Linked DNA regions of Mus musculus. The protein of the gene in region 1 interacts with the protein of each later gene in a pairwise test. Links are inferred from orthologs where the notes say so. Each region holds a gene or a part of one and is shown in the gene's direction. Other genes may lie near its edges.

What was found.
Region 2: the proteins of Banp (region 1) and L3mbtl3 interact in binary tests that used the Homo sapiens proteins (3 or more experiments, as listed by UniProt). The two-hybrid records come from large-scale screens. The link is inferred for Mus musculus from reciprocal best matches to the Homo sapiens genes BANP and L3MBTL3.
Region 3: the proteins of Banp (region 1) and Sh3rf2 interact in binary tests that used the Homo sapiens proteins (3 or more experiments, as listed by UniProt). The two-hybrid records come from large-scale screens. The link is inferred for Mus musculus from reciprocal best matches to the Homo sapiens genes BANP and SH3RF2.
Region 4: the proteins of Banp (region 1) and Camk2d interact in binary tests that used the Homo sapiens proteins (3 or more experiments, as listed by UniProt). The two-hybrid records come from large-scale screens. The link is inferred for Mus musculus from reciprocal best matches to the Homo sapiens genes BANP and CAMK2D.
Region 5: the proteins of Banp (region 1) and Prkab2 interact in binary tests that used the Homo sapiens proteins (3 or more experiments, as listed by UniProt). The link is inferred for Mus musculus from reciprocal best matches to the Homo sapiens genes BANP and PRKAB2.
Region 6: the proteins of Banp (region 1) and Ppic interact in binary tests that used the Homo sapiens proteins (3 or more experiments, as listed by UniProt). The two-hybrid records come from large-scale screens. The link is inferred for Mus musculus from reciprocal best matches to the Homo sapiens genes BANP and PPIC.
Region 7: the proteins of Banp (region 1) and Zmiz2 interact in binary tests that used the Homo sapiens proteins (3 or more experiments, as listed by UniProt). The two-hybrid records come from large-scale screens. The link is inferred for Mus musculus from reciprocal best matches to the Homo sapiens genes BANP and ZMIZ2.

The regions. Positions count from the first base shown.
Region 1 is NC_000074.6:121,949,048-121,953,291, forward strand, and holds the start of Banp (protein BANP), read left to right. Parts: upstream 1-1,444; 5' UTR 1,445-1,601; intron 1,602-4,244. UniProt on the Homo sapiens protein: Controls V(D)J recombination during T-cell development by repressing T-cell receptor (TCR) beta enhancer function. Binds to scaffold/matrix attachment region beta (S/MARbeta), an ATC-rich DNA sequence located upstream of the TCR beta enhancer.
Region 2 is NC_000076.6:26,273,968-26,277,020, reverse strand, and holds the end of L3mbtl3 (lethal(3)malignant brain tumor-like protein 3), read left to right. Parts: intron 1-757; coding exon 758-901; 3' UTR 902-2,553; downstream 2,554-3,053. UniProt on the Homo sapiens protein: Is a negative regulator of Notch target genes expression, required for RBPJ-mediated transcriptional repression. It recruits KDM1A to Notch-responsive elements and promotes KDM1A-mediated H3K4me demethylation.
Region 3 is NC_000084.6:42,098,710-42,102,209, forward strand, and holds part of Sh3rf2 (E3 ubiquitin-protein ligase SH3RF2), read left to right. Parts: intron 1-2,822; coding exon 2,823-3,092; intron 3,093-3,500. UniProt on the Homo sapiens protein: Has E3 ubiquitin-protein ligase activity. Acts as an anti-apoptotic regulator of the JNK pathway by ubiquitinating and promoting the degradation of SH3RF1, a scaffold protein that is required for pro-apoptotic JNK activation.
Region 4 is NC_000069.6:126,595,451-126,599,750, forward strand, and holds the start of Camk2d (calcium/calmodulin-dependent protein kinase type II subunit delta), read left to right. Parts: upstream 1-1,500; 5' UTR 1,501-1,989; coding exon 1,990-2,054; intron 2,055-3,615; coding exon 3,616-3,710; intron 3,711-4,300. UniProt on the Homo sapiens protein: Calcium/calmodulin-dependent protein kinase involved in the regulation of Ca(2+) homeostatis and excitation-contraction coupling (ECC) in heart by targeting ion channels, transporters and accessory proteins involved in Ca(2+) influx into the myocyte, Ca(2+) release from the sarcoplasmic reticulum (SR), SR Ca(2+) uptake and Na(+) and K(+) channel transport.
Region 5 is NC_000069.6:97,661,212-97,664,711, forward strand, and holds part of Prkab2 (5'-AMP-activated protein kinase subunit beta-2), read left to right. Parts: intron 1-1,038; exon of another isoform or gene 1,039-1,040; coding exon of another isoform or gene 1,041-1,061; coding exon 1,062-1,228; intron 1,229-2,370; coding exon 2,371-2,464; intron 2,465-2,656; coding exon 2,657-2,777; intron 2,778-3,500. UniProt on the Homo sapiens protein: Non-catalytic subunit of AMP-activated protein kinase (AMPK), an energy sensor protein kinase that plays a key role in regulating cellular energy metabolism.
Region 6 is NC_000084.6:53,415,208-53,419,396, reverse strand, and holds the start of Ppic (peptidyl-prolyl cis-trans isomerase C precursor), read left to right. Parts: upstream 1-1,389; 5' UTR 1,390-1,440; coding exon 1,441-1,557; intron 1,558-4,189. UniProt on the Homo sapiens protein: PPIase that catalyzes the cis-trans isomerization of proline imidic peptide bonds in oligopeptides and may therefore assist protein folding.
Region 7 is NC_000077.6:6,393,625-6,397,924, forward strand, and holds the start of Zmiz2 (zinc finger MIZ domain-containing protein 2), read left to right. Parts: upstream 1-1,500; 5' UTR 1,501-1,664; intron 1,665-1,943; 5' UTR 1,944-2,004; coding exon 2,005-2,054; intron 2,055-2,133; coding exon 2,134-2,248; intron 2,249-2,607; coding exon 2,608-2,810; intron 2,811-3,040; coding exon 3,041-3,224; intron 3,225-3,404; coding exon 3,405-3,665; intron 3,666-3,882; coding exon 3,883-4,062; intron 4,063-4,300. UniProt on the Homo sapiens protein: Increases ligand-dependent transcriptional activity of AR and other nuclear hormone receptors.

The DNA.
Region 1 (4,244 bases):
CGTCACCATTACTCTGTTTTTCCGTGCGGTCAGGCATTCATGTTCAGAACTCTCACAACTACAGTTTTAAAATCTGGGCCCAATTGAGGGGCGGTGGGAGGAGATAGTACAACTCTCTAAGAGTTTCTGGCCAAGTTCCTCGTAGTTCCTCTGGGCTTAGCTTTCTTTCTTTTTATTTTAAAGATTTATTTATTTATTTCATGTATGTGGGTACACTGTCACTGTCTTCAGACACACCAGAAGAGGGCATTGGGTTCCCATTACAGATGGTTGTGAGCCATCATGTAGTTCCTGGGGTTTGAACTCAGGACCTCTGGAAGAGCAGTCAGTGCTTTTTTTTTTTTTTTTTTTTTTTTCCCCAAATGAGACAGGGCTTCTCTGTATAACTCTGGCTGTCCTGGAACTCACTCTGTAGATTGGGCTGGCTCGAACTCAGAAATCTGGCTGCCTTTACCTTCCAAGTGCTGGGATTAAAGGTGTGCGCCACCACTGCCCAGCAGGTCTCATTTTAACAGCACAGTTCTAGGTTGAAATCTTCAAGACAATCCTGAGGTAAAGTGGCACAGGATCAAACCCCAGACAGAGCACAGTGGTTTAGAAGGGCTGTCCCAAGGTTGCCCAGCTGGTAGCTGCACTGAGTCATGGCTTTATTATCGGCACAGGGGAACGGGCAGGAAACAGGTTTTTGTTTTGTTTAGTTTTCTAAGTGAAAATAACTCCTGTAATCCCGGTTTGTAGGATTGCTCACTGCGAACATGCAGAAGGGGACAGCCTGGAAAGGAACACTGACGACAGACCAGGTGCAGAGAACCATTAGTGGCATTTCTGGCAACAAATGCACATCGATGCTGCATAGCTCCTATTGCATGATACGTAAGCATGTCACATATAATCTCTATCACAGTGACAGTGTCCCCACGACCAGCTTGTCCATAAGGAAGTCAGGCAACTTTCCAGACAATGCCACTGAACGAGCCCGGAACGTCTGAGACCGATGCCAGGTAGAGTAGGTAGGACGGGTTTGGGAGCGTACAGCCCATTTGAGCCGCTGACACTACAAGTCCCAGCAGCCCTCAGGGCAGGGAAGGCATGGGGCAGCCAGAATCCGGATGGACTACAAATCCCAGCAGGCAAATCATGGCCGCAGAGACTACCAGTCCCAGGACGCATCGTGCCACACACAGCGCACACTGGGATTTGTAGTCGTCAGGGCAGCGTTAGTGTGTTCACACCCATCAAAGAGGACGTACATTCCTCAGATTGAACACTGGAGGATTTACTGCTTTAGCAAGTAACATGGACGTGAGATGGGGAAGTAAGGGCCCAGCGAGTCAACTCTCGGAGCAGGGGAGGACAACTGCGCATGCTCGTTGGAGTCCGTCGGCGAAAGCGCGCGCCAGAGGCGCCCAGAGCAGGCCCCGCCCCCTTCCCGACCGGCCCCGCCCTTGAGCCGGGAGCCCAGGGAGCCTGCGCTGAGGGCGGGGCGCAGGCCGTGGGGAGGCGCTCGCGGCGCCTGCGCAGAGCGGCTGCTTCTCTCGCGAGGACGGACGCCATTATCGCAGCTCCCCGACAAACACCACGAGAATTCCGCAGCCCACACGGTAATTGCAGCTCCCGCAGCCGGTCGCGCCTCCACTCCCCCTTCCCGCGGGGCGAGAGCGAGAGCGAGAGCGAGATCTCCGGCCGCCCCCGCCCCGCCCCGCCGCCAACCGTCGCCAACGGCCACGGGGCCGCACGCCGGGCTGGGCGGGGGCCGGCGGGCCGCGGGATGTCCGCGCGTCGCCTCCGCGCCTCCACCCGCCGGGGCTGCGGGACCCGGGAAGCGAGCGAGCGAGCGGGCGAGCGGCCGAGGCCCGGCGGCCGTGCTCGCGTGCGTTCGGCTCCGGGGCCTCGGCGCCTCCCGGGCCCGCGCCCGGCGCTCCTGTCACGGGCTCGGCGCGCGGGCGCTGTGGCCCTGGCTCGGCCGCCCAAGTCTCTCAGGACTGAGCCTCGCGCGCTGCGCCCGGGCCCCGCGCGCCGCCCCGCCGCCTAGGTGGCCCCATCTCCCGGCCGTTGTTGGCGCTATGCCCCGGTAACCGGGTGACTTCGCCCTGGTTGGCGCGTCCGCCCGCCTCTGCTCTGCTCTCTGTTGACATCGGGGCCGAGACTGGTGCTCGCTTCCCCACCTAGCGTCACGTCCCCGTCCCGCACAGCCTGGCTCTTTTTTTTCCTTGTTACTTGTGGTGGCCTTTGTTTCTCTGCTCCTGGTGACATTGTAACTTCTCGGAGATAGTGTGGAACCTCCGGCTTCCCTCTACCTCCTCTCTGCCTTTCTTCTAATCTGGGTTGGGGACGCTTTAGGCGGGTGCAGGTAGGTCCCGAGGTCTTTCTTTCGCTGCACGCCTGGTCAGCTCAGGACGCAGTGTTTCAGTCAGCTTTCTTCTTGAGTCCCCAGGGAGCCTCTGCCAAGGACTTCCTTTCTGGTAACTGTTTCCTCCCTGGACCGGCCTAAGGTCTTCTTGGCATTGGAACAGGTCTGCCCTTCGCAGGTATGCTCGGTAGGCGTGTCCTCGAGCGCTGGGAGATTGTCCCAAGAGCCTTTCTTAAAGTCGTTAGAGAGTTTGTCGCCCTCCCCCCCACCCCCGCCCCATTTGGGCACACTACTTGAGTTTCTTTATCTTTCTATTCCTTTTTGATTTTCATTCCAGGAAAGAACTTCAGTTTATCTTTCACCCCAGTGGCGCAGGACTTTTAATTCCAAGCACTTAGGAGACAGAGGCAGGTGGATCTTTGCCAGTTTGAGGCAACCTCGTTTACATAGTGTTTACATAGGCAACCTCCCCTATCTCGGGGAGGGGGCCGGCGAATCCACCATCAGAATTGTAGTTTCTGAGCAGGGCATAGAGAGGTACACACCTCTAGCCCCAGCACTTGGGAGGCAGAGGCAGGCGGATCTCTTAAGTCTGACACCATCCTGCTCTACAGAGTGAGTTCTAGGACAGCCAGAACTACACAGAGAAACCTTGTCTTGAAAAACGAAACAAACAAAAAAAAATTTCTGAATGTATTTGTTCTTTTCCTTTTGTTCAGTAGTTTGTTTCATGAATATGTTTTCTCTTTCAGGCTGAGAAAACTATTAGGGGTTCTTTTCAGTTCTCTTATCTGACTTCTTGTTTATCACTTTTGGGGGGTGGGTGGTAAATGTTAGCTTCTTGCTTTGGATGGCAGGTCCTCCAATAGTGCTAATTATTATTGCTTAAACCTTAGACTTTAAGGTAAGAGGAAACTGGCAGGGGGCCCTGGGTCTGTGGAGAGGGGTTTAAAAATGGTTTTCCCCACTAGTGTCTGGGAGAGGTTGTTACCTCAAGACTTGGAGGACCACATAACAGACACCTTATATCTGGGCTGTTTATGCATCTTCCAGGGTCTGTCTCCCTTTGCTTGGAAGCTGTTTTGCTTGTCAGGGGTGGCTGTGGAGACTGCTGAGGGCCAGGTGGGGCCTGGAGCCCCACTCCTGTGTCCTGCAAGCTATCTAGATCCTCTGTCAGAAGTTTAAGTCTTTGGCTGTGCTCTATTTTCTTGTGAGCTGATTGTACTGTAGTAAGTATTTTAGTGGGGTAAGTGGAGATTGTTTACAAGGCCACTCATCTTGAACAGGAATTTCAAAGCCTGTTGTCTTCATTCAGACAATTTGTCTCCTTCCATTTTTTGCTCTTTGTGACGGATGTGTGCCAGAACATGGTGTCTGGCTGCCTCCAGTTGACTGGGTGGTCCTTTGGTAGGGTACCGGGATGCAGAGGACTGGTCCCACACTGAGATTAGGATGCAGAGGACTGGTCCCACACTGAGATTAGGCACTTGATTTGACTTGTCTGGTGAGCTCTGAGTTTAGCCTCTTCACTTTGTTGCTGGGCTAGTGCAAGTAGCTAGCATATTATGCATGGTTCATTGATCCCGAGGTGCGCAGTGCAGTGTTTGCCGCGCCCATAGCACAGGGATAGCGAGGCGCTGTTTTGGGCTGGCACCCTTGCCCAGGGCCTTGCAGCAGAGTCCACAGCAACCCACACTTCATGAGCATTCTGAGGTCCACCTGCAGAGTTAGTCTGTGGTTAAGAATTTCAGAGAAACTGAATGAGCTTCCTCTTCCCCTTCATTTTCTCTCTTGGCTAACAGGAAGGTTACCTAGATTATAAAGACCATACACACGTTTCAATGTCCCACTGACATCTTTTGTTTGTTTTGTTTCAGGATGTAATTCAAGACTC
Region 2 (3,053 bases), on another chromosome or scaffold:
CCCAAATTATTTTGTGTCCAAAAACATTGTAATCTTCTGTAACTTAAATCAAACAAACAAAACAAACTATATATATATATATATATATATATATATATATATATATATATATGAATGACTCAGTACCTAATTGAGGAGAACACAAGAAGGTTTGGGGATAGGAAGGTGGTTTGGTTCATGAAGTGTTTGCAGAGTAAATATTATGACCTTTGGGTCCCCACAACTCCCATAGAAATTCAAGCGTGGCAGTGCATAACTGTAAAACCAGCACTGAGAAATAGGTGTGGGATCGCTGTAACTTTCTGGCTAGAGAGTTGAGCTGGAACGGCAAGCTCCAGGTTCAGTAAGATACACTGTCTCAGAGAATAAGGTGGAAAGCTAGAGAGGTTGACATGTGTAACTGAACTCTGGCCTCTCTCTCTCTCTCTCTCTCTCTCTCTCTCTCTCTCTCTCACACACACACACACACACACACACACACACACACACACAATTTTAAGTTATAAGAAAATGTGACCACTTTCCCTTCTTCTGTGGACTGCAGTTTCAGATAACTGAGCTTTACAATGCTGGATGTGTGGTTTTAGGTAAGAAAGACCCATGGATCGGGGATGTTGTGTTTAAGAGCTCCTGTGTATGCTGTGTTAGTATTGCTGTATAGAATTCAGCTGATAATACAGCATAAAGCTTGGAATAGTCTCACAATACTCCCTCTGGTTAATCCACACTCCTCTGTTTTTTCCCCCCTTTATTTCAGCAAATTGATGGAGAAGCATTTTTACTCATGACCCAAACAGACATTGTTAAAATCATGAGCATTAAGCTGGGCCCAGCTCTCAAAATTTTCAACTCTATTCTGATGTTCAAAGCTGCGGAGAAGAATTCCCACAATGAACTGTGAAGACGGTGAATTCTGGCACCATTGGCTTCTGCTTTATAGCTCATTATGTTCCTTCAAAGCACAAGGACAGCTCTAGCTCCCAAGTGAGAAGTCTTCAGAATTCACCGGAGCAGCACTCCAGGGCTCCATCTGTCCGTCCAGCTGCATATGCATTCTTAGGAAATGCCTGAGCTTCTTACCAGCAACTGTCCAACAACAGTCACCTTTTGGTTCCGCTCACTGAGCTAAACTTACCTTTGTAAACTTACCTTTTTTGGATGTGGGAGGAGGGTGGGGGAAGGAGGCTTCTTTATTTATGGATGGGGCACAATCAGAACTTTTGGCATTTTGTAAACATTGTCGGAGTCTCTTTCATGTACACCTTCTTTTTTTCAATACTTTCAGAAACCTTTTTATATAACTGAATATCAACCTAAACCAAATCCTTTGAACCTGGCTGGGTTAAGCCTCGGACTGGTGTCAGTCATGTTCGCCCTGTGCCATATTTGGAATTGCAGCATTAGCCAAGTGTAATGTTGTGAGTCACGATATTGCCTAACTGTGTGTCATCCTCTGTTGGGACTGAAGAATTGTAAATACGACCTTTCTTTGAATCCACATTTTTACTTTTGCACGCATCATGAATTGTTAAAGTACTTTTCACCAGCATCTTTACTATTATTATTACCAAAAAAAAATGTATATAAAAGAGTGGAGTTGAAGAATAAACTATATAAACCTACTTAGATTTGAAGGAAGTAGCGTATCGGGACAGAATCAATTTTGTACATCGTGGTGCCCATGTGTTTCCAGCAGTTGGCATTAGAGGATTGTGCAGTTACACATCCCAAGGGATGTTGACGAGGAATTTGATCTGTGAAGTTCTTGTGTGCATCTCTGTAAATGACGTGGAAGTTGCTGGTGCTGTACCGAAGAGGACTCACTTGTTGCTGGAAACACTAATCCTCCAAGAGCTCCCATCCGTGCCACAGGTCCTCTAGGCCCAGAGGATTTCCTCAGAGTGAGCTGAGAAGCAGAGTGAGCACCTGACTGCACAGGCCTGCTGTGACCCTCGTAACCAGCAGCCGCAGAATTTGCCACGCTCACAGATTGAGAAAGTGGTTCCCAAAGCCATTACTCGGGAACCTCCGATGATGAAAGAGTCCTTTTCCTATGAAATATTTTGCCTTGATTTCTAAGCATCTGAATGCACTTTAAATGAGAGCCCATGGTTATTTATAAACTCATAGCTGGCAGTGTTTTGTTTGTAAGCGTGTCCTCCTAAGGGGAAGGTAAAATATTTTGTCAGTCTTTGGATGTACTTTCTAATTCCACAATTAGACATTTACTCAAGGACTGATTTAAAAATATAAAGTTTAGTAGCATGCTGTCAGAACTCTGGGGGAAAGTCCCACCTCTTTCCATGAACTCTTTAATGTTTTTCTGATGTAGGACTTCCTTTGATGTGCCATAGTTGGAGTCCTTTGCATTTGTCATGATTCAAGGTAAACAGGGTCCGTGACATCTGCAATGTCCTCTTTCTTCATTTCTCTGCATGAATCTGCTAAGTAAGCTTTTTATTGTTACTCCCCCTTCTTTGTTGTGGTCAGTATTTGTACATTAACTTGCACTTGTTACATGTGATATGAATGAAATAAAATCTTAATTGCAGATTCTTTTTATATATGTATGATTTTTAAGGAGGTTATTAAATAGGAGAGGTTAAAAAAACAGGAACAAAATCATATCTAACAAAAGTTATGTAAGGCTTGGTTATATTTTAGTATTAGAATACCTACCTGGCAAGGTTTGATCTGCTTGCCTACAAAGCAACAACAAATAAATAACATGTTAAAGATACTGTAGGACTGGGGAGATGCCTCAATTGCTAAAGTGCCTGTCACAATAGCATGAGGCTCTGAGTTTGTAGCTCTAGCACCCATAGAAGAACCAAGTGTACCTGTTACCCCAGTGAGGTTCATTGGCCAGGGATCCTCACGGCATCATGAGCTTCAAGTTTAGTGAGAAGCCATGCCTCAAAAGACATTAAGATAGTGAGGCTAGAGAAATAGCTCACTGGTTAAAAGTACTTGCTCAATTTTCAGCACCTACATGGCAGCCCACAGCTACCAGTGACTGGTTCAAGGAGATGCAATCCCCTCTTCTGGCCTCC
Region 3 (3,500 bases), on another chromosome or scaffold:
TCACAGTCCTTATACCACTAAGTTTCATGTCCTTCCCAGATTCCTTCCATAGGCCCTCCCGTCATCTATAAGCTTTGCCCCATTCTTTTTTCTCCCAGGTTTGTCTGATTTTAATAGGCAACATGATCATTTTGTTATAAAAGTTTAAAAACCAGAACTAAACACTTAGGGGAAAACACTGTTCCTTAAAAATAATCTGTGTTGTGAGGTTCAGACATCTAACATTTTCCAAAGCAGTTAAGCTAATATGTGATGATAATCTAGTCCACAGGCCTGTCTCTGACTTCTATTACACTGAACAGCATATTTAGAGTGATGCTTCATGCTAAAGGATCAACATCAGCTTTAATGACTACAGAGCTCTCACCACGAGAATGTGTGTCATACTTTATTGAACCACTTCCACGTGCCTTGCTCACTTACCCTCCAGTTTCTCCAGGGTGAGCTGTGTTCTTGTATTTCCCTAAGCCCCAGGCCTTCCTTCCAATATCCACAGCCCCGTTATCCATTGCCAAGGGGATGTGAGAGCTCTCTACAATTAGCTTGGAATTGTATTTTCAAATGAGCATTGTAGAACTAGAAAATGCTGGAAGACCTGAATTAAATTCTTCCATCTCCCCTAGGGACAGCAAGGGAATTGTTTCATCCCACTGCTTAGAAAAACATACACAAGTGTCTCTGGTGAGAGAAAGGTCTTTGTTGAAACCTGAGTTGTTAGAACTTTCAATGTGCCAAGCCAACCTCAAATAAAACCATATTGAGATCATTCCTGTGTGGAGAAACCAGGCTCAATGGGTGAGTGGAGGGAAACATTTGACTGCATTAATTATTTAGACAGACAACTAATCTGACAAATGACGATTCACGAGCCGATTTTTATTCAAAAGCTGTGATTGATTCCTGACTAATTGTTTCCTTGTCTCAGTTGCGTTTCCTAATGATCCAGCTGCTCATGAGGTCCACAGTTCTGCAGAAGGCTGTAGCCAAATTATGCTGCAGTACCCTCACAATCCACTTCCTATCTGCAGGTGGTTTCCACTCCCATTTTCTTCCCATCAATGCTGAGGAGTAGGTAAAAGTGCTGTCATTAGTTCCCCATTATACATGATGCTAAATAAAGGAAGACATTCACCGGGCACATATTATATTCTAGGCAAGATGTTTGATGCATTATGGATACTATTTATTGCTCGCAAAAGCCATAATGAGGTAGACATTCTACTAACATCTTATTTTATACATGAACATAGTTCAAAAAAAATGTTAAACAACCCTAATCACATAAGTAGAAAGAGACAGAATCAGAATGCAAAATCAGTATGGAGCCAGAAAGAATCATTGACTCACAGTGCTGGCTGGTTTTATGTCAACTTGATATAAGCTAAAGTCATCTGAGAGAAGAGAACCTCAATTGAGAAAATGCCTCCATAGCACCAGGGCTGTAGGTAAACCTGTAGGACATTTTCTTAATTAATGACTGGTGTGAGAAGGCTCAGCTCATTGTGGGTGGTGCCACCCTGGGTTGGTGGTCCTGGGTTCTATAAGAAAGCAGGCTGAACAAGCACAAAGAGCAAGTCAGTAAGCAGCGCCCCTCTGTGGCCTCTGCATCAGCTCCTGCCTCCCAATTCCTGCCCTGCTTCAGTTCCTGTCCTGACTTCTTCAATAATAAACAGTGATGTGGAAGGATAAGCCAAAGGGTTTATACTCTTTAATCTCTAAGTTGCATTTGGTCAAGATGTTTCATCACAGCAATGGTAACCCTGACTAAGACATTCACTCAAAGTCACATAGCAGTGAGTCAATCCTAACACATACTCCCAGTATCAGGATTAACAACAAAAGCTCTAGACTCAGAACTCCTCGGTTCAGAGCTAATGTTTGCTGATACCGTTCCCCAACTGTGTCTGTCATCTTATGCAAGTTACCAAACCACCGTTACTCTGCTTCATCAGTAAATTGAATGGTGAACTTCTGTCTCAAAAGGTTACTGTGTTGTTTCTGTTTCCTAGATATTGTGAGCAGAGCAGTGATGTCCCGCACCTGAGGTTTGCATAACATTTCAGAAGAGGGGCAGAAAGATTGTGAGAGCCAAGCGATTGGGGAGTTTGTGTCTCCTAGTAATATCAGAAACTATTTCCATGAGGTTTCACCAACATGCAATCCCAGTATAAGCTGATTAAGGACAATACCACTAGTTTTTCCAGATACCTTTGTAGTGATAAAAGATACCTGCATATAAACACTGATTTAAAATTCTTTCATATGTATTTATTGTATAGTCAATAAAGTGCTGTAAATAAATGGGAACAATCAACTATAGCCACAAACCACCATCCAAATCAAAATATAAAATCAAGGTACTGCTAAGGTGGATGAGGAAAGCCCATGAGATCTCATCTTACACAAAGCACTACAGACAACCAAGAAAAGCTGGGACCAGGAGAGGCAGTGCTCCCCAGGAGAGGCAGTGCTCCCCAGATCAGAGCACAACAGTTGGTTATCCAGTGCCAGTCAACCCTGAAAACAGGCAAGGAACATTATTATACAAACCGAGGAGGTTGTATTTGGGACTATATGTGTGCATGTGTGGACATATATGCATGCAATAGCAATTGGTAAAGGTAGAAGCCTTGAATTTGAAGGAGAGTGGAGAAAGGAATGTGAGAGTATTTGAAGGGAGCAAAGTGGGAGAAACTAAGACCGCTATTTACATTAAATGAGACAAATGATCCACACACGATTATCATTAGTAGTTGGTATGAGACATTCCATTCTTCCACCCCTAATCTCAGTTCCTATTTTCTGCCCTGTGTCACTTACAGGTGCCTCGAGCCAAGGCCTTGTGCAACTACAGAGGGAAGAATCCTGGCGACCTGAAGTTTAATAAAGGCGATGTCATCCTCCTTCGGAGACAGCTTGATGAGAACTGGTACCAGGGGGAGATTAATGGCGTCAGCGGGATCTTCCCGGCCAGCTCTGTGGAAGTCATCAAACAGCTGCCCCAACCACCCCCACTCTGCAGAGCCCTCTACAACTTTGACCTTCGAGACAAGGATAAGAGTGAGAACCAGGACTGCCTGACCTTCCTCAAGGTAAGAGTCCCACACTACATACAGACTATGGCAGAACCCAGAGTCCATTGTTTAATACTTGCTGGTTTTTAAGAAGAATACGCATTTTACACATGAATGCACATGTGTGTGTATGTTTGTGTGTGTGAGCAACCACAAATATGTAAGCAATGTGTGTTTATGTGTATAATTTCAACTACATGGTTACTATCTCAGTCAATGTTCTATTGCTGTGAAGAGACACTAAGACCATGGCAACACTTACAAAAGAAAACACTTAATTGGGTCATCAACTGTGTTTTCAAAGGCTGTTGAAATCCTCTCACAGAAATCTAAGTTGGGGTTACTTTATTCTTTTCTTCTATGACAGGTTAACACGGGAGCACATGAAGTGGTGCTATTATAATTCCTCAGTAAACGTCTTCTGTA
Region 4 (4,300 bases), on another chromosome or scaffold:
ATAGTAAAACAGGCCAGTAAATGACATTTTCATGGGCAAAACAATGCAGACATTGAATGATGACTAAATTCAAAAAGTATTTTCTTGTGTTGAGTGGGAGAGGGCTATTAGAAGTATGAGTAATATTTGCAAAATCTATAACAAAAAAAAGCATTTAAAAATTATATGGCCGTCTGAGTACTTCAGTTCAAAGGCCACTCAGCATTCTTTAGAACAGGGAATAAAAGAACCTGCAAAGTAGTAACTTATAGCCGCCCTAAAAGCATGTACAGGCTCCCTAACTGAAAGTTATCTATCATCTTCCCACTGTGAAATTTTAAGTGCACGATGTGATTCTAAGCACGAGCACATAAGCAATAGAAATGCAGGATTTTATGGTTTCCTGCTGTAGAACAAAAAGCAACAGTCTGAAGAAAATTTTTTAAAAGTTCATGATGCGTCTCTATTTTCCGTAGGCCTCTAAATCTGCAATTGCCTCGTTTATTAAAGACTCAGAAGTGAAAAGAAGGCTCAGAAATGATCTTAGCCACCACTTACACCTTAACCCATCTTACATGCTAATTTTTTTTCTCCATGCTAATTTTTAAGCAACAGTGTCAGATATGCTTAACTGTACACACGTTCTTGAACTCTTAAATGGTTTTCCAGATAGCCACTGAGGGAGTACACTCCTGTGCCCCTACTTGGCCTGCTCTTTGAGAATGCAGGTAAAGAACTCCCACCCTCCCTCTCCCTTCTCCCTCGGCAACGCGAAACAGGCTAGGCACGCTCACGTGACGCTAATGACGTCAGCCCCCTCTGGGTCGCGTGACCCACAGCCAACCTTCCTACCGCCCCACCCCCTCGCCACTGGCGTGGGACATCTCGCGAGAAGCCTTCTTACTATCAGAACTTGCTGAGGTTACAGGGGAGTTACTCTGGAGAGGAAGGAAGGTGTGGCAGAGTGGTGCACTTTTGGGTTTCATTATGTTAGAGTTTATGATCAAGCAAATGCTTATGGGGATCGCCCTAGTCGGGAAAAGGGGAGAGAAGGGCGAAGACGTGACAGTAAAAACTGAAGCGAAACGTGGTGCCCTGACCATCTTTGCCCCTAGCTAAGGGACAGCCGGGCGCAGCAGAGGTGGCCAAGGCTGGCAGCCCCAGGCAGTAGCTGCGAGCCGGGGGACGTTGGACCCGGGTCTGGGAGCAGTAAACGCGAACCGCGCCCAGATGCAAGGGTTGCTTCCCTCTCTCGGCTTCCCCGGCCTCGCGGCCATCCCGCCCGGGTAGAGGCATCCGGGTTGTGGGAGCTTCGAGTGGTCTCTCATCTTTCCGCCCTTCGTGGGTCACTGCGACATCTCAGTCCCGTCCCCTTAAGCGCGCTCCCTGCTGCTCCGCGCATCTCCCTTCGGTCTCCCTAGACGGCTGCGGGAGAGCAGCCCGAAGGGACGCGGCTGGAGTCGCTAGAGGGAGGTGTGGGGCCGCCGAGGAGGGGGCTTCGCTGGGCGGGGAGAGGAGGGAGGAGGCGCCGGGGAGGAGCCGCGGCTGCCAGCTTCGCCCGAGCCGAGCGAGCGCACTCTGTCGCCCCGCGGGTTCCCAGCCTTGCGGCCCCGTGGAGAGGAGGGAGCGCGGGCCACCAGCGCCTCCTCTGCCCGCTGGAACGACCGGCTGGGTGTTCACTCGGCCGCTGCCGCCCGCCACTCCGGGCGCTGCGTTGAGCTCTCCGTGCGGCCTCGGTGACCGCGGCAACCCCTCCTGACACCTCTCCCCCGCCCCTTCGGGAGCCCTCGGCCCGGCCACCGCGGCGGGAGGAGGAGAGGACAAGGGATCGCGGAGCGGGCTGGTCTGGCCACCTCGCCCCGCGCGCCCCGCCCCTGCGCGCACTCCCTCGCCGGCGAGCTACTTTCGGACACGGAAAGTGAGGGCGGCCCCGGGTGACAGCGCGGCGGCGCCAGTCCCGGGAAGCCAGGTCTGTTCGCGTGTCGCCCGTCGCACTGTCCAGACCCCGCCATGGCTTCGACCACCACCTGCACCCGGTTCACCGACGAGTATCAGCTCTTTGAGGAGCTCGGAAAGTAAGCGTCCCTGCCTGGCATCTCCTCCTCCCCACGACCCCTCGTCTCCCTCGTGGGGATAGAGAGCCTGCGGGCCGAGGCGGGGAGACGGACCCTGGCTTGGTGCGGGTGGGGCACACAGGGAAGGAAACCTTTGCCCTACTGTGGCGGGTGCTCCGAATTCCCAGCCCATCTTCTCGGGTCCTCCACCTCTCCACGGGGGACTTAGTGAATTTATGATCTCTGCAGTTGTAGCTGTCATCCTGAGAAGTGTGCGCGCACGCGAGTGCGAATGTGTGTGTATGTGTGTTCGGAGAGGAAAGGAGATGCATGTAAAATGCAACATTTATCACATTTTTGGTAAATAGATGTCTCTTGCTCAGCCCGCGCTGTATCTGCGATCTGACCCAGGTTCGGATGAGCTAACGAGAGAACACTCGCTCTCTGAGATGGTGCCATATTTATCGATGCCGAAAGTTCAACTTGGCTTGGTGGAGAGTCTGGTTCGGCATCCAAGTAGTTGTTCCGTTCAGGAAAAGGGCCACCCAACAGAACCCACGTCCCTGCCATGTATCCGCTATCCTTCTTTGCACTAAGATGAGTCGCTCACCATCATTCTAGGATTTAGGTGTACATCGTCTCTGAGAGGATTTATTTATCCAGGCAGAGGAAAGCCCTAGAGCCCGAGAGAGCGTTTCCCCAGGGTAGCCTAGCTTGTGTAAAACGACCTCCTCCACTGAAGTGGCAGGACTTCCTTGAGATGTTAAGGAGGGACAGGGTACCTACTGAAGATCTGCACAGGGGCAACTAGAGACTCAGTCAGGAGGGAGTGTTGGTTTACCGAGCATCAAACCCCAAACCTATCGCTAATTTCCACTATCAGGGAAGGGATGCATTTGTGTGTGTGTGTGTGTGTGTGCTGTAGGTTTCCTTACAGTTGCATAAAAGGAAGTGTGAGCACTTTTAAATCAAATGAAAATGATATCTTTATAGATGATCTGCTGTTGAAACATGGAGTATGTCGGAAGAGCAGCTTAATTTAAATCTCTCCCCTCCCCCCAAGCCCAAACCAGGCAGAGAGAAATCACCTTACCCCAGAACCTGTTAAAGCACACCAGTGAGCTCGAGATTTATGTTTTAATGAAAACAATCGCCATATTTACTTAGTTGGAACCACGTTAATTATGTTTCCTACCGAAATAAACAGTTTTTTTTTTTTTTTCTTCTGTTCCCCAGCTCGGTCCTTTGCAGGGTTTGCTATGAGCATTTGGTGTTTTGTGAGTGTGAATTACAAATTGTTTTCAAATTTCATGTGCAAAAAAGAGTGGTCATAATTGGCATTACCTTCTATTTTGTTGATTAATAATCTGCGTGTTTCCAGTCAATTAAAAACGACTTTCATTCCACAACATTAAAAAAGATCTGGGCTGGCAGGAAAGAATTGTTTATTTTCTAGATAATGCTTTTATTATGTTGCTATTTGACAGACCACTAAAGGTTCATGAAACCGCTCAGATTTGTGAGTTTGCAAGTGGATACTAGATCTGATTATACTGACGACTTGCTAATTATTGGTTTCCAGGGGGGCGTTCTCAGTGGTGAGAAGATGTATGAAAATCCCTACTGGACAAGAGTATGCTGCCAAAATTATCAACACCAAAAAGCTTTCTGCTAGGGGTGGGTATTTTAAACCACATTTATTTATATATGTTAATGTTGTATTTGTTGTGTGAATGGTTGGTGTCTTCTAAGTAGTTATAGCATGTAGTTATAATTGAATTTTGGACTTAGGTATCATATTACATATTACCATTTTTCCTTGCCAAAAGCCTCTTGCTTTGTTTCCTTTGAAAAGTAGGTGAAAAATATAATTGTTATCAGCGAGTTATTAAAATGCTGTCTCCTAAGCAATGGTATAGATAAATATGTTGCAAAGCAAATAAATGTCATGAGGGGCCTTGCTGAAATCTGTTCAGAAGGATCTTGAAATGGAAAAAATGCAAGTCTCATAACTGTCATAATTCCCCTTTCACTTCTGAGACAAAAAAAAAAAATGGGTCATGGTTCAGTTGAATGTATGTTACAGTTGTAGTTACAGCTGAACTTAATACAGCGAGGTATATTTAACTTCAGTGGTTTGGGGAAGTAGGAAGAGATTTTTACTGTAATCTAGGAAGTTAGCTTGGCTTTGATATGTGTAGGCTAGGCCTTTTCTGGGTTTTCTGCATGAAACTTTCCATCAGATCATGCAATATATTTTACACCTT
Region 5 (3,500 bases), on another chromosome or scaffold:
GCCCTCATCATTTCATTTGTAATGCCTGACTTGGTACCATGCAGTCTTATTTACCAGTCAGTGAAGCCATCCCAAAGGACGGATTAGCAAACTTTTTCTGTAAAAGGCCAAATAATAGATAATTGAGAGTCTGTGGGTTACACCCTCTGCTTTCACTTCCCAGGTCTGCACGGTAGCAGTGAGCTGTGGGTGATAAACACGTGGGTGGCTGTTTCCCAAACGAAAGCTTAGTAAAAGCAGTCTGGCTCATGGCTGCAGTTGGCCGACGGCTGTCCTGAGGATGGCCTTGGAAAGAAACTAAGGGATTTGTTTTTCTCAGAATCCTACAAACCCCATTTAGTAACGGATCTGCTTTTGCTCAAGGAAGCTGCTTTTGGTCGTGTGCTCCTAGAGTTCCAGGATGTCCTGCATCCTGCTGAGGGGATTTTATGACCTGGCCTAGGTAAGCAAGGGAGGTTTCATCACCGGTTCAGTGGTACCGGATCAGTGGCGTGGCTTCTGAATGCCTGTCGATTGATGGATGATGGTGCTGGAGATGAAACCCAGGGCCTTGTGCTCGGGAGGAAAGTGCTCTGCACTGAACTCCGTCCGTCTCCAGCCCTTAAAATGTGAATGCCCTGTTGTATAACCAAGGAGCTGAAACAGCAGTGCTAGTTACTCAGGAATTTTGGTATCTCTAACTGTAATAGAAAGAGAACAGTTTGCCTCAGAAAAACATATAGCTGGCTTAATTTTCCTTTAAAGAACCATACTTAACTTTCTTACAGTTTCTTATGAGGTGTTCAGGAGCATATCCTAATTGCTACATACAAGCGAGGCCTGTAATAGGAAGGATTTAGAGGTGTTTGGTTTTTTTGAAGGGTGATGCAAAGGTTCTGCAAGGAGAATGATGTGTGCCATATGTTCTTTAATATAGTTTGTTCATACCCTGATTCAGTTGCTGAATTTGGGCTGTCTGACTTTAGTTGACGCCTAATTTAATGCCCATTAAAAACCTTTGGGACCTCTTAAAAACCCTTGGGTCATAATTTATTCTAGGGATGACCTACTCCTTCTTACAGCTCCCCGGGGACAAAGAGTTTGTACCCTGGCAGCAGGATTTGGATGATTCTGTGAAGCCCGCCCAGCAGGCCCGGCCCACCGTTATCCGCTGGTCTGAAGGAGGCAAGGAGGTCTTCATCTCTGGGTCCTTCAACAATTGGAGCACCAAGATCCCTCTGATAAAGAGGTGAGGACAGGCGTCTCTGCTGAGTGTGCAGTGTGCAGGAGCAGACACCTGGCTGCCTTCCCTAAGGAAGAGAGCGGGCCTCAGGAGCTTCTGACAGCATTGTGTGTCCACGCTTCGGGACTCTGCTTCTCAAGCCATTGCTTGTCTGCAAGAAGTCTGGAAAACACTAATCCTTTTGCTTTGATTTCTGTATTAAAGCGAAATACATTGTGACATTGTAGGTATAATGTCAGTTTATTGCTGGCATAGCAGTAGTGAATGATTTAAGTGGTTGTCAGAGTGACCCTTTATGTAACGTCATTTTCCAGACAAGGCTCACCAAATTATGGGACGAGTACCCTGAAATATTTCCCAACCCAAACCTACCTTTTATGTTATTCATAATTCATACTTGTGAAGACTCTGCTTTGTGTGTAGTGTATGTGTGTGTGTAGTGTGTGTGTGTATGTATGCATGTACATTTGTATGTGCACCCATATGTGTGCATGTGAAGGCCACAGCAAGACCCAGTATCTTGCTCTGGCTTTCAGCCTTGTTGCTGAGCCACAATTCCTCCATTTCTACCAGCTTTACTGGCCAGCCTTTTCTCGGGTTCTGCTTGTCACAGTGCTGGAGTTGCAGGCGTGTGTAGCTGTGCCCAGCTTTTTCCATGGATACTGGGGGTTCGCACTCAGGTCCTGAAGCTCACAACAAGCACTCTTACTGGTTGAGCCGATCTCCCTAACTCTAAGAAATCAGAATGTGCCGTGCAGTGGTGGCTCACGCCTTTAATCCCAGCTCTTGGGAGGCAGAGGCAGGCCTGGTCTACAGAGTGAGTTCCAGGACAGCCAGGGCCACACAGAAGAACCCTGTCTCGAAAAACCAAAAAAAAAAAAAAAAAAAAAAGAAAAAGAAATCTGAACGTTTTGTCAGTCACACTTTCCCCCCCTCAACACACACACATGTTCAAGAACAGCATTAGTGGGAGAGGTTGACAAGCAGGTGTGTTAACTGCTAAGGTGTGCAGGGGTAGGGTGCACACAAGGGCCGTAGCTTAGGAACGGATGAGGTCATTGCGGTGGCCCCATCGTTCCCTCTTGCTTTTCCACACTCTGTCTTCTTTAAGGAGCTTGGCCTGTCTGACCTTCTGTTTCCTTCTCTAGTCATAATGACTTCGTTGCCATCCTGGATCTTCCAGAGGGAGAGCATCAGTACAAGTTCTTTGTGGACGGACAGTGGGTTCATGATCCGTCAGAGGTAAGGCCTGCATTTGCAGCGGAGCCTCGGCGGCCTCCTTATGACTTTATGCCCTCCAGTTCATGGGCACCAGGCTCCCTGCTAGAGACTTGTCATAGCAGGAGAGGGGCCAGTTGGGTGACGATGTGGATTGAAAAGGGTATCCAGTTTGATTTTATTTATTTGTTTGTTTATATTTCTTCACTGTTTCAGCCTGTGGTTACCAGTCAGCTTGGAACAATTAATAACTTGATCCACGTCAAGAAATCTGATTTTGAAGTATTTGACGCTTTAAAGTTAGACTCTATGGAAAGCTCGGAGACGTCATGTCGAGGTACTATTGTCCTGTTGCTTCCTCTTGCTGGGTCTTTCTTACAGTGCATATTCCTTCCCCAAACTGGTTTCTTGCTTTATTTTGCATTTTTCTGTTTTCTCAGGAATCTTATAATCACACACACATGCACACACACGCACGCACGCACATGCTCACACACAAATCCCATGGTATAATGTCTGCCTTTTTTACTCTGATACACTGTTCTCCGTTTTACCTTTTATGTAACCCACCAGTAGTCTGCGGTTTCAAATGCTATTTCCAGTAAGATTTCACACTTTCCATGAGCATCTGGTGATATTACCTGTCGAGGCTGGGTACGTCTAGTTTGTCTCATTAACCTGAATCAGCTAGTTTGAGAGCTCAACTGGCAATTATGATTTTATGAGAGCCTACAAGTATAATTGTCACTGAGGGGGTGTGAGAAAAAAAAAACCCAAATCAATAGTTGCTCTATGTAGAACTGAATCTACAGGGACCGTCCTGTACATTTTTGTCTCGAGTATACTTCTGTCCCCAAGGCCTTGCTTGGTGCTTGTTCACTCAGGTGACAGAGACACACTGTGCAAAATCTCCATAGTCACTGTCCTGTTACTGAATGATGGGAGATGTGCCTGCCTAGAGAACTGCACACCTTATCCACTGAGCAGATCTCTTGTTTGCAAAGAGAATGAAACAAGGTCTCTTGTTTGCAGAGCCTGCCTTGGCTACTAGTCATGCCAT
Region 6 (4,189 bases), on another chromosome or scaffold:
CTCACTTTGCATTTTGCACCAACATAACATGCCAAAACAATGATAAATTTCACAAACAAAAAGTAAAGCAAAAAAAAAATAGACACATCATTCATTTTACAAACATTAGACAATATTCATCGTTCTCCACGAGGCATTGTGCTAGACCTGAATCATCAGTAGAAATAAAAACAGCCACCGTCCCTGTTCCCATGGCGTTTGGTTCAGATAAGAGAGACAGAGATAAGCACAGATAAATATATGCAGTCACCTAGCAGGGTCATCTCAGAGAGATAGCCTTGCTCCTCAATGGGGATGGATTCCTTCTCTGGTGAGGAGGGAGAAGGGAGGGAGGAGGAAGGAGGGAGGGAGAGATTTAATTTTAGTGACATTTTATTAGACAAAAACATTCTACTGAATTCAAACTTCAAAATGTAGTGTTTTTAAAATAACCACATCCAGGCTGTAGGGTACTATAGAGAAAACTATTATGCGTATTTCTAGCATCGCTGCTGTTGTAAAATGTCTCCTCCTCTAGTCTCACGTAGCCGAGGCTGGCCTGGAACTTGCTGTCTCCGAGGATGTTGTGAATAAACTTGATCTTCTAATTTTTTGCCTCTACCTTCCAAGTGTTGAGATCACAGGTGTGTGCTGTCCCACACAGTTTATGTGGTACAAAGGCTTCAACCCAGGGCTTCCTATCTGCTAGGCAAGCATTCTGCTACCCAGGTATCTCTTGGTTTTCAAGTGCTGTTTTTATATTTTCAGAGGTAAGTTCAGACTTTCAACGTGGTTTTGCACATGAGGGTTTCGGGTTTTTGTTTGTTTGTTTGTTTCCATTTAAAAAATGCAATGAGAATTTCTCCATGTCATCAATTTTCCTAATCCGTAAGATGGTTGAAAAAAAATCATCCTACAGCTACACCTCGCAGCCCAGTTTGAGTACTTTTGTTTTCGCAGGGCAGAACTCTTATCTGGTCCTTGTTCAGGGCCTGTGTAAGGGCTTCCCAGAAAACTGTGGCTAAGGCCGTGGAGTCAGCACCCGCACAAAATCCCTCGACCTCAAGTTTTCCCAGAAGATTGAATCTTACGACTCCCCAAAAGCGGAAAGGTAGACATCTGGAGAAACTTGATGCAGCACGCCCAGAACTCCCCGGAGGTCGGAGAGGTGCCCAGGACATCTAGGTCCCAGAGGAGCCTTGTCAGTATTCTGCTCTCTGCGCGCTGCGGGCCCTATTAGGCTTACTCCGCTTTGCGCCTCCCCCACAACGCCGCTCCCTCTGAGCCCCCAATTCCGGCCACGGTTTTGAACTTGGGAGGAGCGCGCCCCAGGTCCCCGCCCTGCCCGGATCCACCACTCTCCCTACCGGGACCGCGCAGGCGCAGGCGGCTAAGCGTCCGGCCACAGTCCCGGAGCCTAAGGTTGCGCCCGTGCCATCGTTGCCACTTCCACCGCGCACCATGAGCCCGGGTCCCCGTCTGCTGCTGCCCGCGGTGCTCTGCCTGGGGCTTGGAGCCCTGGTGTCTTCTTCGGGGTCCTCAGGCGTCCGAAAACGAGGTCCCTCGGTGACGGACAAGGTGATCCAGCGGCTACAGAAACTTCTCCGGCGGGCCAGGCACTCGGGCGCAGTGGCAGGGCTGAAGAGCAAGGGCTCTTGAAGCGGGGCGGGAGGGGGGACTGAGGGGACTTCTGGGGTACTGACTGGGACAGCAGGGAGCTGGGGGTGGGTGCTGGAGGAGGGACTAACTGGGGCTTGAGACTGTCTGGGACTGGGGCGGGGGGCTTAGAGGTGGCCACGCGGCAGGCGGGAGGAGACGTCAGTGAACGGTGCGCTCCCAAGGCTCTGGGGCTACTGGACTAACTCTCGCCAACCCCAGAGAATTGTCACCCGGACTTAAACGACCTGAGCGGCTTGGGAGCTGGGACAAGCTCGCTGTGGCCGCAGGGCCTTTCTTCTAGAAGGGAAGTTGCTGGAGTACTTCCTTGGCGTGGCCTGGATGTGGAACAAAGCGGGAAGAATGTAGAGGGAAGGGCACAGGCTGAGGAGTGGAGGCCCAGCTGCCTGCTTAGGATGTCACCCGCTGGCCAGAGCCTGGGTCCCCAAGGAGTGCTCAAATGAGAACTGTCCTCTTCTGTTTAGGAACTGTCACCCTCCAAGAGGAAAGGGTACAGTTTAAAACCTTGTGGCTGGGCCTGGGTTTGAGCCCTAGGCAGCTTGAGAAGGCAACACTCTGACTCTTAAGGGAGGCACGTGGGGGAATCCCCAGGAACTCGGTTCCTACAGTTTCCTCTGCTGAAGTTCCATTTCAGTCTGTGTTACCAGAGGATCAAAAGGAAAGGAAGGGGCGGGGGTTGGTGGGGGGGGGGGGACTACTGCGGTGGGGTAACGACTACTTCCACTGCTAGAAAAAAAAATCTAGCAGTCTGGGAATGGGGTGGAAACAGCAGAAAGTGGTCTTGATGACCAGTTCAGGGTGCCACTGGAAATGATAGCTCAAGACTAGTAGAAGGTTTAAATCCTCCATCACAGGCTCAGCCAAAGAGCCAGCAAGGAGAGGGAAGTGAGCCCACCTATCCAGTCACTGTGTAAGCCAGCATGATCCAGCCTCAGGCAGCCCTTGATCCTTTGGGTATCTAAACCGAAAAACTGAGTTGTGCAAGCCACAGAGCTAAAGCATGCCTGGTCTGCGACTACTATTTCAGATAAAACCATAAATATAAAGTTCATACAGCTATGAAATAGCAAAGGAAGTGAGCCTGATATAGCTCGGAGTCATTTTAAAACACCTGACCGATGAGGGAAAAGCCAGCCTGGGAAAGGCTAGCGTGCCAAAGGGAATGCTTGTGAAATGGTCTCCAGGTGGATTAACCATTCTTGTCTCAGGACCTGCCTAAAGGACAACTTGTCTGTGGGGCAGGACTGAGGGCAGAGTGGCCTGAGATGAGGTTGGATATGAGCGAGGAACAGAAAGGCTCTGAACAGCCTTAGAAGGCTTTGCTAGGAGTGTGGCCACTGAGGGCATAGTTCTTAAGGCTTGGGTGTCACTCTAAGGCAGTGTTCCCCACCTTCCTAAGTCTACAACCCTTTAACACAGTTCCTCATGGTGTAGTGACCTCCCACCCATAAAATTATCTTCATCGCTCATTCACAACTGTAATTTTGCTACTGTTATAGGTTTTGATGTTAACATTTGATCTGCAGGATATCTGATATATCTCTGATAAGGGGGTTTCCACCTACAGGTTGAGAACCATTGCTCTGAGGTAAAGTGGCCGGAGGGGTCTGCACATGGAAATGACTTAATTTCATATATGCTCTTAAGAAATTCCTGTGGTCACTCTGGAGGGTGAATTGAGAGGCCATTCAGGGCTCCGTGCCAGACTCCAGATGGTGGGTTGGATAGGGGTGGTAACCTTGGGAATGAGGAACAGGAATTTGAAGTAGATATTGGAAGCGTTAACAGGACTCCCTGAAAGCTTAGGTAGAAGGGAGAATAGGGTAGTTAGATAGCCTATGATGCCCAAGTAGGTGGGAATTGCAAGTTAACAATGGGTTAATCTGTGCCCCCAGTTATGCTGGAAGTGTTTGACCAAGAGAGCTTTTAAACTGTATTGATAGAAATCAACTCAGAGCAAGTTAGCTACAGTCTCTGCAGTCTCTGGTGCAGCCTGAGGATAGCAGAGATCCTAGAAAGAAAAGACTGTGGCTGCAGGGGAAGGGGTGGGGCATCCTGACTAAGACTAGAGCATAGAACACTGGTGCTGAGACCTGGGCTCCGCCCTCAGAGCTGGCAACTTAGTTTCTTCTTTTTCACAAAGCTTAGTAAATTCTGACATCCAGAGGTAAGGTGAGCCTCTCACAGATCTGCTTCCTTGGGCCTCTTGAGTTACTTAACCAGTGTGTTACAACAATTCAATTTGGTGGAAAATAGAGACATTAAAATGGAAATGTAGCCAGGCCTTTAAATCTCAGCAGAGGCAGGCGGAAGGCCAGCCTGGTCTACAAAGTGAGTTCCAGGACAGCCAGGGCTATACAGAGAAACCCTGTCTGGAAAAACCAATAGATAGATAGATAGATAGATAGATAGATAGATAGATAGATAGATAGATAAAATGGAAATGTAGGTCAACTCCTTTGACTCTGGCCCACAGTCCTTTCTTTCACCATGACTTTATTTAAAGCTAGGAATCTGTAAATAAGAGGCCTGG
Region 7 (4,300 bases), on another chromosome or scaffold:
CTAGGACCTAGTTCATTTTGGTATATGCTGTGACTCGGTTGTTGTTGTTACAGTAGTGAGGCTCAAACTCAGAGCATGACGTGTGTAAGCACACAGGGCAAGTGCTCTGCCATTAAGCTACATCTAGAGATGCTCCCACCCCCGTCATATTTTGTGTCTGAAGTTTTTTGTTTACTGGTAGGCTCTAGTTGCTCGTGTACCACTTGTTAGAGATGTCCTTCCTCCACTGAATTGCTTTGGTGTCTCTGGGAGTATTTGTGTGGCTATTTTCCCATCTCTTCTCTTTTCCATTAAGTCGTGCTTTTGTCTTGATTCCTGTTCCTATTTCCTGACATCCACATGGTTGTTCCAGACCCCACATGTCAGATCTTGGGAGGAGTTCTTCCCACCAGGTCAGCTGCCAGGATCCAGCAGGAGCAACATAGATGCCAGCCTCTGCTGCCAGTCTGGCACATTCTGTCTCCAGCTGCCTAGGCAGGACCTGGCCTGGGCTAGAATCAAGTGTAGTTGCCTCTGAGGGCCAGGGGACAGAGCCTGTGGATGAGGTGGATGAGGTTTCTCTTCCCTGGTAGCCTGGTGCTGGGTGTGAGAAGGATCTCTGGGAGCCTAAGGCTGCCCAGGCAAGGGCAAGTCACAGTCCCCTTTTCTCTCTTTCTCTTATCCGTTCTGGGGCTTTGTGTGTGTAGCCCTGCCCTGCAGAGCCTCCAGGTCTGTACTGAGCCCTGAGTGGTAAGCACAAAGAAATGTTTGTTCCAGAGCTGAGTGGGTGCTGCGATACCCCTCTCTCCCCTAGACAAGAGGCTTGTGAGTGCTGAGTGGAAGATGGAAATCACCAGATCTGATAATGGTTCAAAAGGTATGTGTGGCAATCACACAGCCCCTACCAAGAGAGGGTTTCAGACAGGAGCACCCAGGCCTTCCCAGAGGTCCCTGAGAAGTGCCCAACACATGGCTTGTGTGCCATTCTGGTGAGACCAAGCAGAGGTAGGCACGCATGTGGTCCAGGGTATATTAGGACCTGAGTGGATGAGGCACTGAGAAAGGCAAGGAGTGGGAGTCTTCTGTACCAGTCGCTGCTCTTACCTGCTGTTGCCTCCCTGTCCACCAGCCACTGCTACGGTTTTCTAAGAATGAAGCCCAGTTGGTCCCATCTTGTAGATGTGCGTTAGCATGGTCTGGCTTTGTGACTACCCCCCACACCTGCTGTGCTGTGTGTGTCACTGCCATGTTGGGAATTCACAAGTGTCACAGATGGGTCTTTGGGGGGGGGCAAGATGTCCACTTGACCATATACTTAAGGTCATATTTGTCTCAGGGGTGTGTGTGTATGTGTGTGTGTGTGTGCACCTACATGCATGCATACATGCACGCACGCGCGCGCGCGCACACACACACACACACACACACACACACACACACACACACGCCTGCTCCCCTCAAGTCGTCTGGATCAGCTTGAAGGTCCTGTGACCTGAAGCCCTTCTGCCACCCTCTTGATAGGAGAGAGCTGCCAACCAGGGGCTGGGTCAGTGCCTGTGTCCTGTGTCAGCCGTGTCGGTACAGCCACCCTAAGGCCAACCTGGTGGATGGACTGCCGTTGTACATCTGCTGCCTGACTTTTCAGCATCTGCCTCAAAGAACACTCAAGCTCTGCTCCTTCTCAGGTCTCTGGGCTCCGCAGGGTGGGGGCTACCCCTCTGACCTTCTCCAGGGCCTGCTGAGGGTTCCTGGCTTCCTATGATTTATATGGGAAAGGGAATGTGGGAAGTATTTGATATCAGAAAGCCCTTTCCAGGGTTGATCCAATGGCTTAAGATGACAGAGCCCTTGTTAGAGTTGCTTTGCACTGCATTCTGGGCTGACATTTGCCAACGCTACTACCCTGGCTTTGTCCGTGCTACCATGAGCATCTAAGCTCCTGCCTTCTCCCTCCTGTCCCGCAGCCGGAGCAGCAACTCCCGGATAAGCTCCAGCACATTGGGCCTGTAGGCTGCTCCATCACCAATGAACCCCATGAACCCCATGAAACCCGCCCTGCCCCCTGCACCACACGGGTGAGTGTGGGCTTCTGTGGCCTGCCTCTAGCAAGCCCTTGGCCTTCTGACCCTGCCTTAACCAGCTGCTCTCTTTTAGTGATGGTTCATTTGCATATGAGTCTGTGCCTTGGCAACAAAGTGCCACTCAGCCAGCTGGGTCACTGTCTGTGGTCACTACTGTGTGGGGAGTTGGCAACGCAACCCAGAGCCAGGTGAGTGTGTATCAGGGCCACCCCACTCCCACCCCCACCCCCCAGCCCTCAGGATCCAGAGTCTTGGTGGTGCCTCTACCATCTTAGGGCTCCAAGAACCAGGGACCAAGCGGACTGTCTGAAGCACAAGGATGGGGCTTCCTGAGGGTCTCAAGTCACTAGGTGCCTTTCTTCTGTACTACCATGGGATGTCTTCCCCTGGCTCCAGAGACCCTTCCAGTCAGAACTATAGACAACCACTCCTGCCACCCAGGTCCTCCCCCATTTGCTGGGCATCTCTTGGCATCTAGCACTTTAGGGCTGTGTCTTAAAGACAGTAGTTTGGCTGGTTCTCTCTGGTGACTCCCACTTCCTTGTAGGTTTTAGGGAACCCCATGGGCCCTGCAGGAAGCCCCCCTGGTGGTTCCATGATGCCTGGTGTGGCAGGTGGCAGCTCTGCCTTGACCTCCCCGCAGTGCCTGGGACAGCAGGCGTTTGCTGAAGGAGGTGCTAGCAAGAGCTACGTACAGCAAGGCGTGTATGGCCGAGGGAGCTACCCTGGGGGATCCAGCTTCACTACTGGGTAAGCCAGTGACTTGAAACCATCAGCCTGTCAGTCCTGCAGAAGGGTTGGATGTTGCCTGCTCCTCCCCTACTGTCTCTAGTAGCTACAGTGGAAGTTCTGTTGAGAATGGAAGAAGTGAGTGGAGGGAGGGGAGAGAAAATTAAAAAAAATAAAAAAGAATGGAAGAAGTGCTGTGTGTCCCAGAGAAAGCCTCTCTAGACAGTAAGGCAATCCTGTATCACCTACAGGTATGCAGGAGGCCCTGCAGGCCTGGGGCTCCCCACACATGCAGCACGGCCCTCAACTGACTTCACACAAGCAGCAGCTGCAGCTGCCATGGCTGCTGCTGCAGCCACCGCGACAGCCACAGCCACAGCCACGGTGGCTGCCCTGCAGGAGAAGCAGAGCCAGGAGCTAAGTCAGTATGGAGCGGTAAGGCCCCCTCCAGCTTCTTCCATGTGCTAGTAATTATGAGTGGGCTCGTAGATTTGGCAAGGCAGCAGGTTCTGGGGACAAGTGTGGACTGTGCTGGGTTTCCCGAGGCCAGTGAGAGAGAGGACCATGGCAGCAGCTGAGAGCGGGTCTGACTGTTCCTCTTCTTTCTCCTCTCAGATGGGGACTGGGCAGTCTTTTAACAGCCAGTTTCTGCAGCATGGAGGTCCTCGAGGACCCAGTGTGCCCCCTGGCATGAACCCTTCAGGCATGGGAGGAATGATGGGCCCCTCTGGCCTTTCTTCAATGGCCATGACTCCTACCCGGGCAGCAGGCATGACACCCTTATATGCAGGACAGCGACTGCCTCAGCATGGGTACCCTGGGCCTCCGCAGGGGCAGCCACTGCCTCGACAGGGGATCAAGAGAGCCTACTCAGAGGTGGGTATCTTGCTGGCTCAGGTTCGGTCCTAGATGATGAGTCAACTACCCTAGCACCCTCCCAAGTTATGACAAGGGTGGCATCTGGAATGAGAGAGAACTGCCTGTGCCCAACAGGATCACATACACGCACACGCACTCACGTTCACATATATACATGCATGCAAACTGCTTTCCCCTGATACCTCTCTTTCCCTGGACATCTGCTTCTTCTCAGGTGTATCCTGGGCAGCAGTATCTGCAAGGAGGCCAGTATGCAGCCAACACTGCCCAGTATGCTCCTGGCCCTGGGCAGCCCCCTGGCCCTGCCTCCTCCTATGCAGGACACAGACTACCCCTGCAGCAGGGAATGGCCCAGTCCCTGTCTGCGCCTGGCCCCACGGGACTGCATTACAAGGTAGGACTGGCTCCCGTGGGCCTAGGCTGGGTTGAGTGCCACCGGGCTCAGTGGGCCTTAGGCAGGTTGGCCAGGGAATCCTAAGCAGTACGAGAACAGCTCTCAGGGTGACTGGTGGTACGCACATGCCTGCCCGCCTGCCTACCCGTGAGCAATTGGTGTAGGGAACAGCAGGTAGGCTTCCAAGCCATACTCTGGTGCGGCTGTGCATTTCGCTCCCTCACTCCTCTACCCTGCA